Ovis aries: one gene and its partner. The protein of the gene in region 2 interacts with the protein of the main gene of each other region in a biochemical or structural test. Links are inferred from orthologs where the notes say so. Each region holds a gene or a part of one and is shown on either strand. Other genes may lie near its edges.

Region 1 (3,812 bases), on a different chromosome or scaffold from region 2:
CTCTAGCAACTTTGTTTTGCTTTTTAAACTTGTTTTTCTGTATTTAATAACTATTTCTTAGCCTTTATGATTATTTACTTTGTAGGATTTTTTTAGTCATTTGTTAGGCTAATTCCCAGGTGTTCATATTGTTTGTATTTCCTCTTCAATTCCTGTTCCTAGTTCTTTTTTTTAGTCTGTGTAGATATTTGTGTATGATATATGTTTTGAGAACTAAATCTTTACCTATCTTAGTGATAAGTGTTTTTATGATTCAGTTTTTTTGTGTCAGTTTTTTATTGAGTAAAATATTTTAAAAGTGAATTTCAAATTAAATTCTAATTACTTCTCGACAGAAGTAATCTTTTCAGTGATCTAATTATCAAAAATATTCACCAGGCCCTTACAGAAACACTCCGTGGAGCACTGCCCCGCAGTGCAGCTCAGAACATCCATTGTGCCCCTTTTTAGGAAGGTGAAGGGAAAATGAGTCAGGAGAGAGTGCTGAAGAGAGACTTCATAAATACCTTCTCAAGACCTTGAAATCCAGGACCTAAAATAAATCTTCGGTTCATGTGGGAAATTGTATTACTCATACCCTTAGGGAATAGCTTCTAATTTTAATTGAATTCTATACTTTAATTGAATTTAATTCTATACTTAATTTGTTTGAAATTTTAGGTTTTTTAAGAATGCTGTCATTGAATGAAAGGCTGCAGTCCTGAACACAAGACTGTCGTCTACCCTGCCCCACCTTTTCTAAACTTCTCCCCCCAGCAGGAGAGTCGGTGGGGTCTGTGGAGTCGTGTCAGGGTCTGGGGCTGTGTGCCTGGCTCTCTCCTTCACAGATGCCCGACTCCTCCTGCTCACTCCTCAGACGGCATTCATTATACATCCTGTGTCTTGTCGAGGCGTCAGGTGGAAAAGAGCTGGCATCTTGCAGCATTTCCAGCGTGTGTATAAGAGTTTCTTTAAATGTTTAAACAAGCATGTATCTGCCTCCTTTGTTTGCCTAAATAAGTCAAAACAAGCCAGGTAACAGTTCTTATTTCTTGGTACTTATGGAAGTTTCCCCAGAACTTAGAAATACATTCTTTAAATTTCATAGCGTACCTGTAATTCCCCTGTTGCAGCTTTGCTTTTACAAACCAGGAGGTATGTTTTCACCTGCTTCCCTGTCTGTCATCAAGTAGGTAGTCTGAGCCTTGGCTGAGCTTCCTGCAGCTGGTGAAGCTTCATGTGGATCTCTGCTCCTAGCGGGTGAGGTGCAGTGTTGGTTGCAAGAGCAGAAAGGCCAGCAGTGCTCAGGGTCTGAGGCAGGGTGCTGGCGGCATGTGGAGAAAGGCGCTCAGGCGCTCGTTCCCACTACTGCAGTTCAGCTGTCTACCTGTGAAAAGGGGGATTAACTGGAGCCTCAGGACAACCCTCACAGGGCAGAGACTACTGTAGTGCTGTATACTGGGTATGTACTAATATATTCCTAAACACAGCTTCTTACTGAAGTATTCTTTGAGATATACCAAATCCTTGTTTGTACAGATGCCTTGTTTTAAATTTGCTGCATGGAGTGATAAGAACTTAGTTTCTGTGGAAATTAAGATCAGAATTATGTACTGCTTGCGGGTACTTCTAGGTGCTTTTTGCATAGAAGCCTTTGCTGTTGTTTAGTTGTGATACAAACTATTAGTCACCTTTTTTTTTTCCCTTTCACACTGTCTGGAAACCACCCCCTGTTGTCTTTCTAGATGCCCTGGAGCTTCTCATCGGAGAGCTGCCCTAGAGAAACGGAAAACTAGTAAGACTCAGATAGAGATCGAGAATGAAAATGGAACCACTGTCATAGACCTTCCAGCTGCTTTATCACCCGAAACGGACTGCTCAGGGCGGACCCTGACATCGGCATCCCTTCCGTCCTGGACAGAGGAGCCCGGCCTGGACAACCCTGCCTTTGAGGAGAGCCTGGCTGGGGACAGTACGTGCCGCCCCCGCCTCTGTTCTCCACCTTGTCTGAAATCAGGCGTTCCTTCCTTCCTTCCCACCTCTCCCCACTGCCCTCCCACATATGTTGTTTTCCTCTTTAAACAGTTAACATTGAGATATGGTTCACATACCACAGAAGTCACCCATTTAGGGGTACAGTTCTAACAGTTTGCAGCTTAGGAGCAGGACGTGGACCTTAGCCCGAGGAAGGGGACCTTTCCACTCCCTCTTATATTCAGTCCAAGATTCACTGGTTGTTAAACTGCTTCTTATTGTGTTTGTGTTCAAACATTTGCTTATCACTTCTTGACTAAGAAAACAATATCAAGAGCAACGAAAATAATGACCCCGATTAAGTGCCTCTTGTGTCAGGCTCCGTGCCAGACCCTCTCCATCCGCTAACTGACCCAAAACCTGTGTCAGTGCCGTGAGGAGGCTGTATCAGGGAGAGTCTTGAGAGTGCTCGGTCAGCATGTGCGGCCAGAGAAGGACTGGGTGTGTCCCTGACACCGAGGCCACTCCTCTGCTGCGATGCTCTGGTGGCCCCCTCGACTCCCGCCCGCTAGGAAAGCCTATAGTCGTAGCTCCTAGGCATAGCTTGGTGGTTGGCCCTGGGTATTTACTTTTAAATACTTAAATTAAATTACTTTTGAATATACTTTTCTTGAAGAAGTTCCTACAAATTCAGATTTTGCCCGCAATAGCCATAACCCATTTTTAAGACGCTCCCTTTCTCAGGGCCTATATGACTTCCCTCTTACCCCTGTGGTTACCACATACCAGAACTGTCTTTTCTTTATACTACTGTGCACTGTTGAGATTTGTTCCACCCTCCAGGGGCTTCCTTCATAGCTCAGTTGGTAAAGAATCTTCCTGCAATGCAGGAGACCCCGGTTCAGTTTCTGGGTCAGGAAGATCTGCTGGAGAAGGGATAGGCTACCCACTCCAGTATTCTTGGGCTCCCCTTGTGGCTCAGCTGGTAAAGAATCTGCCTGCAATGCGGGAGACCTGGGTTCGATCCCGGGGTTGGGAAGACTCCCTGGAGAAGGGAAAGGCAACCCACTCCAGTATTCTGGCCTATACAGTCCATGGGGTCGCAGAGTCGGACACAAGTGAGTGACTTTCACACATACCACCCTCCAGACTATCTCATCAGTTAGGATGAGGTGATGTTCTCTTAGTACAGTTTCCAGATCTCTGTGTCACCCCTCATGATCTGATACATAGTAGCTGGTTGCAATAATTTACTGATCACCTTTAGGAGAAGAAATGTTTAGATAATCTTAACACACAGATGTTGTTTGTCATTCTGTTTTCTTATCCAGTGGTATTGCATAGCTGTTAATGTAATATGACTTCTTTGCCTGAAGATAATCAACATATAAAATGTTGTTTCTCTTTCCATCTATTTTTCTCTCACTTTTAACTTGGCAGCCACACCACAACCACTTAGCTTACCAGAAGGTGAAATCACCACCATCGAAATCCACCGGTCTAATCCTTTTATTCGGCTAGGAATTAGTATTGTGGGTGGCAATGAAACGCCACTGATTAACATTGTCATCCAGGAAGTCTACCGCGATGGGGTGATCGCCAAAGACGGACGCCTCCTTGCTGGGGACCAGATTCTTCAGGTACTTGTTTTAATTCCTCTGTCAACTTGGCGCTTTCTCGTTCTTACTCATGAGATTAGAACAACATTGTGGTACTGTGGGACCTGAGTTGTATCTAAGTAAGTTTTGCTGCTTTTATATGCAAAGTGTGTCAGAATTTGTTAGCAATTTCTCCCCTTTCCCAAGAGCTGGCTTAGGACAGGTGGTGTTTTCTTAGCCTTAAGCCTGAGGGGAGGGGGA
Region 2 (4,508 bases):
CCTAAGGTTTTCATAATGACTAAGGGCCAATCAGATGGGGCTGTGGTGCAAACCTATGCCATGGCCATTCTCTGAAAAGCACCCCACAGAATTCCCTCTAGCTTGCAGATAAACCATATTAGGTCTACTGTAAGGCCAGATTGAGGAGAAAGCTGGCATGCTGTCCTGGGTTGAGAGAGAGGGGCATGCTGATGGGGGAGGTACATGAAGGATGCCTCAAGGATGTTTGTCCTGCAGCCCAGGATGAAGGGATATATTGAGATAGGTCACAAATTTTGTACCAGTAAAATAGTTGACTCATGCCATTCACCAGAATACAGAGCTTAGCAGAGCTAAGTCCTACTTGGTAGCTGTTCAAGTCCACTATGATCAGGATCAAACTGGACCACAGAAGAAAAGGGCCCAAAGGAGTCCAACTATCCATCTCATCACTCTGTCCAGGTGTCTCTGGAACCAGTGGTGTGATGTGGTAACGATTCTACTTTCCCTCCTCTCCTATTGATACAAGATCTTCTCTTAACCAGCCTCATTCAATATATCTCAATGATGACAGTCACATAAATGAGGGCGGATAGAGCCACCCTCCACAGTCATCTGCCTTGGGGCTACTTGTCATCCCCTAGGCCTTCCCAAAACCTGCCCTTTCACACATAGGCAGAGTCACTGGACTGAGTCCTGCCAAAATTGGGAACACTGACCCGGGGCAGGTCCTTGTTGCGGATCTCATAGACTGACTTCCTCTTGGCCTGGGCTCCTCGCACAGCCAGCTTGATCTTGCGCCATCCCAGGTGGTTGAGTTCAGCCAGGTTGAGCACAACACAGATGCCGCTCACTGCAAACATGAACACTAGAAAAACAGTCTTCTCAGTAGGCCGGGACACATAACATTCCACCTCCTTGATACAGGGGTAGCGGTCACATTCATACAACCCCGGGACACTGAAGCCATACAGAAAGTATTGGCCCACCAGAAACCCAATCTCCAGGGCATTTCGGAATACCACTTGGATAATGTAGAAGCGGGAGATGCCTTCCTGCCTTCGGAGCTTGGATCGAGCTGCAGTGCGCAACCCTGATGGGTGTGGGGTCAGCTCCTTCACCTCTAAACAATCTGGCTCCGTCTCCTTGCTCGTGTTCTCTGTGTTCTGCAGCACTCCATTAACAATGGCATTTTGCAACTTCTTATCTTCTCGTTTGCCACCACCACTGCCCCCACCCCCAGTTCCTCCAGGACCCCCCATGGACTCAGGAGGATCTCTGTCCAGAGCCAGGAAGACAGTAGAGTAGCGGCGTTCTCGTTGCTTTGCAGACTGGTGCACAGAGTAAGTGATGAAGCAGAGACTGGGGGTACACACCATTATGATCTGGAAGACCCAGTAACGTATGTGGGAGATGGGGAAGGCGCGGTCATAGCAGGCCTGGTTACAGCCGGGCTGCAGTGTGTTGCATACAAACATGGTCTGCTCATCATCGTATACCGTCTCCCCAACAATGGCCACAATGAGGATCCGGAAGATCACCACCACAGTCAAGAGGATCCTGAGCAGGGGAAAAGGGAGGGAGAGAGGTTCTCAAGGGTTGAGTCACTGACTCAATAGAAAAGCCCTATTGCTCAGTTCCCAGTTCTGTCCTTGACTGGGGAGCTATCCATCCAGAGTGGTCCTGAACTGGGAATTCAGCAAACCTTTTTGGTCTCTTCCCCTTCTGCTGGGTGTTGGTAGTCTGGGAACACTTCATACTACAGGGATCTTAAGCATGTGCATTTCCATACACTGGACATGGTGTGTTTGCAACAGATCAATTTCATTTGTATACATGTAATGTAGAGAGGCACAAAATATAACTTCCCTCTGGATATGGCAAATGCACATGGAATAGCTGAATACAGCAAATACAAAGTCTACACACAGATTATGTATATGTAAGTACTCCAACTGGATATTTAGTTTATCCTCAATATGAATACTGAACTTAAGCTTTACATAAACAGATAGTTATAACTATATATACACATATATACATGAATATATATAGTTTATACTATATAGTTTATACAGAGACAAAATGTGTCAGCTGGGTGTGTGGGTTTCTGACACTGTAGGTTTTAACAGGCAAATCAGTTTAGCTTGCTAAATATTTGTTGGGGAAAGATATATCTGCTCCGAAGAGCAAATCCATCTCCCCATTTGCCCTTCTCTGTCCAAATACAATCCTGCCTTCTTTGTAGATTCTATTTAGGGAACTGGATGAAGATTGGCTCTGACTCCGGAGAGTGGGGGTACCACGACTGAGCCAATAACTCCTTTGCTAATGGAAGAAAAGTGAATCCCCTGGTGGTGCTTCATAGGGAAGGGATGGATTCCTGATGAGGAGCAGCTTGAGGAGGGGGGCATCACTGGGCGTCAGGCAATCCCTCAATGCTGGGAACACAGGCGCGTGGACCAAGGATGATGGGAAGGAGACAGAGGATGGTCTGAGGGCTGCTGGGGCTCGGTCTGGACGTTAGAAAGGACTCCCGGGGGCCGCCCGACGGGGCCCGCTGATGGCCGGCTCGTCGCCCTTACCTCCCGATCATAGTGGAGTGCTGCTGCACCGCGGCTTCCAGCAGCCTCTCCAAGATGGTCCATTCCCCCATCGCTGTGCATCCGGAGGCAGCAGACAAAGACTGGGCAGCACCGGGCACGTTCCCGCTTCGGGCCCCTCCCCGGGCCGCACCTCCCGACTGGGAGCGAAATGCCCCCCAATTAAAGAATCAAACAAAATTTTTAAAAAATCCAAGATTCCCCCTCTCCCTTTTATTGTACTTAAAACAGGGAAAATGGGGAAGGAAACCCAAGCGCGTCCAACTGATGGGCAGCTGGCGCGGTCCGGAGAGCGGGCACGAACCTCGGGCGCCGTCCGGGGGTCAGGTCTGGAGCCGGGGGATGGCCGGGCGAGGGGCGGGGCGGAGCGGGGGTGGCCGCGTGCAGGTCCGCGAGCTCTCGCCCGCCCGAGCGAGGTGTTTGAGCGCCACTCACTCCCCGGGGTTAGGGGCCGAGGAAAGGTCCGGGCACCAATCCCCGCGCCTGGCACTTCAGCGGGCACCGGGCGCTCCCGCGCTGCCGCCTGCGAAGCCGGGGCGGAGCGCGCGGAGCCGGTTGCAGGGCTCGGGAATCCGCGGCCGCCGCCTCTAATCCGGCCTTAAGTAGTCTCCGCCTGCGTCACGCCAGGTCGGCGGAGGGGAGCCGAGCGCTGCGTGCGGCTGTCGCTGCGCGCCGGAGCCCGAGGGGCAGGGGACGCGCGCAGGGGGAGAAGGGGCCAGAGTCTTGGGGCCCGGTGGGGACTGGGGCGACTTCGAGAGGAAGGATCGCTGCGCCCCTCGAGGCTTCTCGGGGCGCCCAGGTAACCTCACCTGACCGCCAGCCCGGGGCAGGAGGAGGGGGAGCCGGGAGCCGACGCGTGGGTGAGTGGGGAGGGCTGTGAGTAGGGAGTTTAGCGTCTCTCCCTGCATCCCTCACCTTTTGCTTTCTGTGTTTGGTGATGCAACTGAAATTCCCTCTCTAAATGGAGATGCTGGTTGGGGGAAGGAAAGCGGGGGCAACAATAGCACGTTTTTCAGTCTCTCATAAGAGAGGACTCCGTGGCTTAAGAGTGAGTCTGCGGTCGGTGCCATCGTGAATCCGATACAGGAATGAGGAAAGCTCGATGAGTGTTCATTTAGGCTGAAGCTTAAATGTAGGAGTGAAGCTGTCTCTGAGGATGGGGGGTTTGAGCACAAGACTCCCTACCTAAGTGCCTGGTTTGAGCGAGTGGATGGCCATGGTTAAAGGACTCGCTTCCCCAGCGCAAACCCAGACGCTCTGCTATTCTGTATCTATCTTTTACTTATTTATTTGGAGGAGTGGGTGCTTCTCGGGTAAACTGCGAGCTAATCGGATGATAAGGAAGCTCAGTATTCAACTAGCTAGAAGAGCCACTCACGATCTCACTCCACCATCACTTTTGTTTTCCAACCTTGGCTTTCTATGCTGTCAACCAGCAGCTCCTGGTTTCTGTTTTTAAATTGACATATTGCTGACAGTTCTCTCTGGAGCAACTGCTTAATTGGTTACAGCTAGAAAATTAAGACAATCACACTGATACTAATTAGCTCAGGGGTCAGTATTAGGAGGGGCTTCCTAGGTGGCTTAGGGGTAAAGAATCTGCCTTGCCTGCCAATGCAGAAGTTGCGGGAGATGTGAGTTCAGTCTCTGGGGAGGAGGAAATGGCAACCTTCTCCAGTATTTCTTGCCTGGAGAATTTCACAGACAGAGGAGACTGGTGGGCTACAATCCATGGGGCCACAAAGAGTCCGACAGGACTGAGTGACTGAGCACGCCTGCACAGAACTAGGTGTTAGGAGACACAGTAGTTGAGTCCCTGTTATATGTATGTACGAAAAGCACAGTGAGTGGTCGTCACCCTTTTAAAAAACGCAGTGTGAAAGAGCTACCAGCTCCCTTCTAGACAGGTAATGCAGCCTTAATTAT

What was found.
Region 1: the proteins of GJD2 (region 2) and LNX2 form a complex in vitro, tested with the Homo sapiens proteins (2 studies listed by BioGRID and IntAct, with this or other methods). The link is inferred for Ovis aries from reciprocal best matches to the Homo sapiens genes GJD2 and LNX2.

What each region holds. Positions count from the first base shown.
Region 1 is NC_056063.1:32,654,514-32,658,325, forward strand, and holds part of LNX2 (ligand of Numb protein X 2), read left to right. Parts: intron 1-1,724; coding exon 1,725-1,951; intron 1,952-3,393; coding exon 3,394-3,593; intron 3,594-3,812.
Region 2 is NC_056060.1:28,434,977-28,439,484, forward strand, and holds the start of GJD2 (gap junction delta-2 protein), read right to left. Parts: upstream 2,920-4,508; 5' UTR 2,636-2,919; coding exon 2,565-2,635; intron 1,540-2,564; coding exon 645-1,539; 3' UTR 1-644. UniProt on the Homo sapiens protein: One gap junction consists of a cluster of closely packed pairs of transmembrane channels, the connexons, through which materials of low MW diffuse from one cell to a neighboring cell.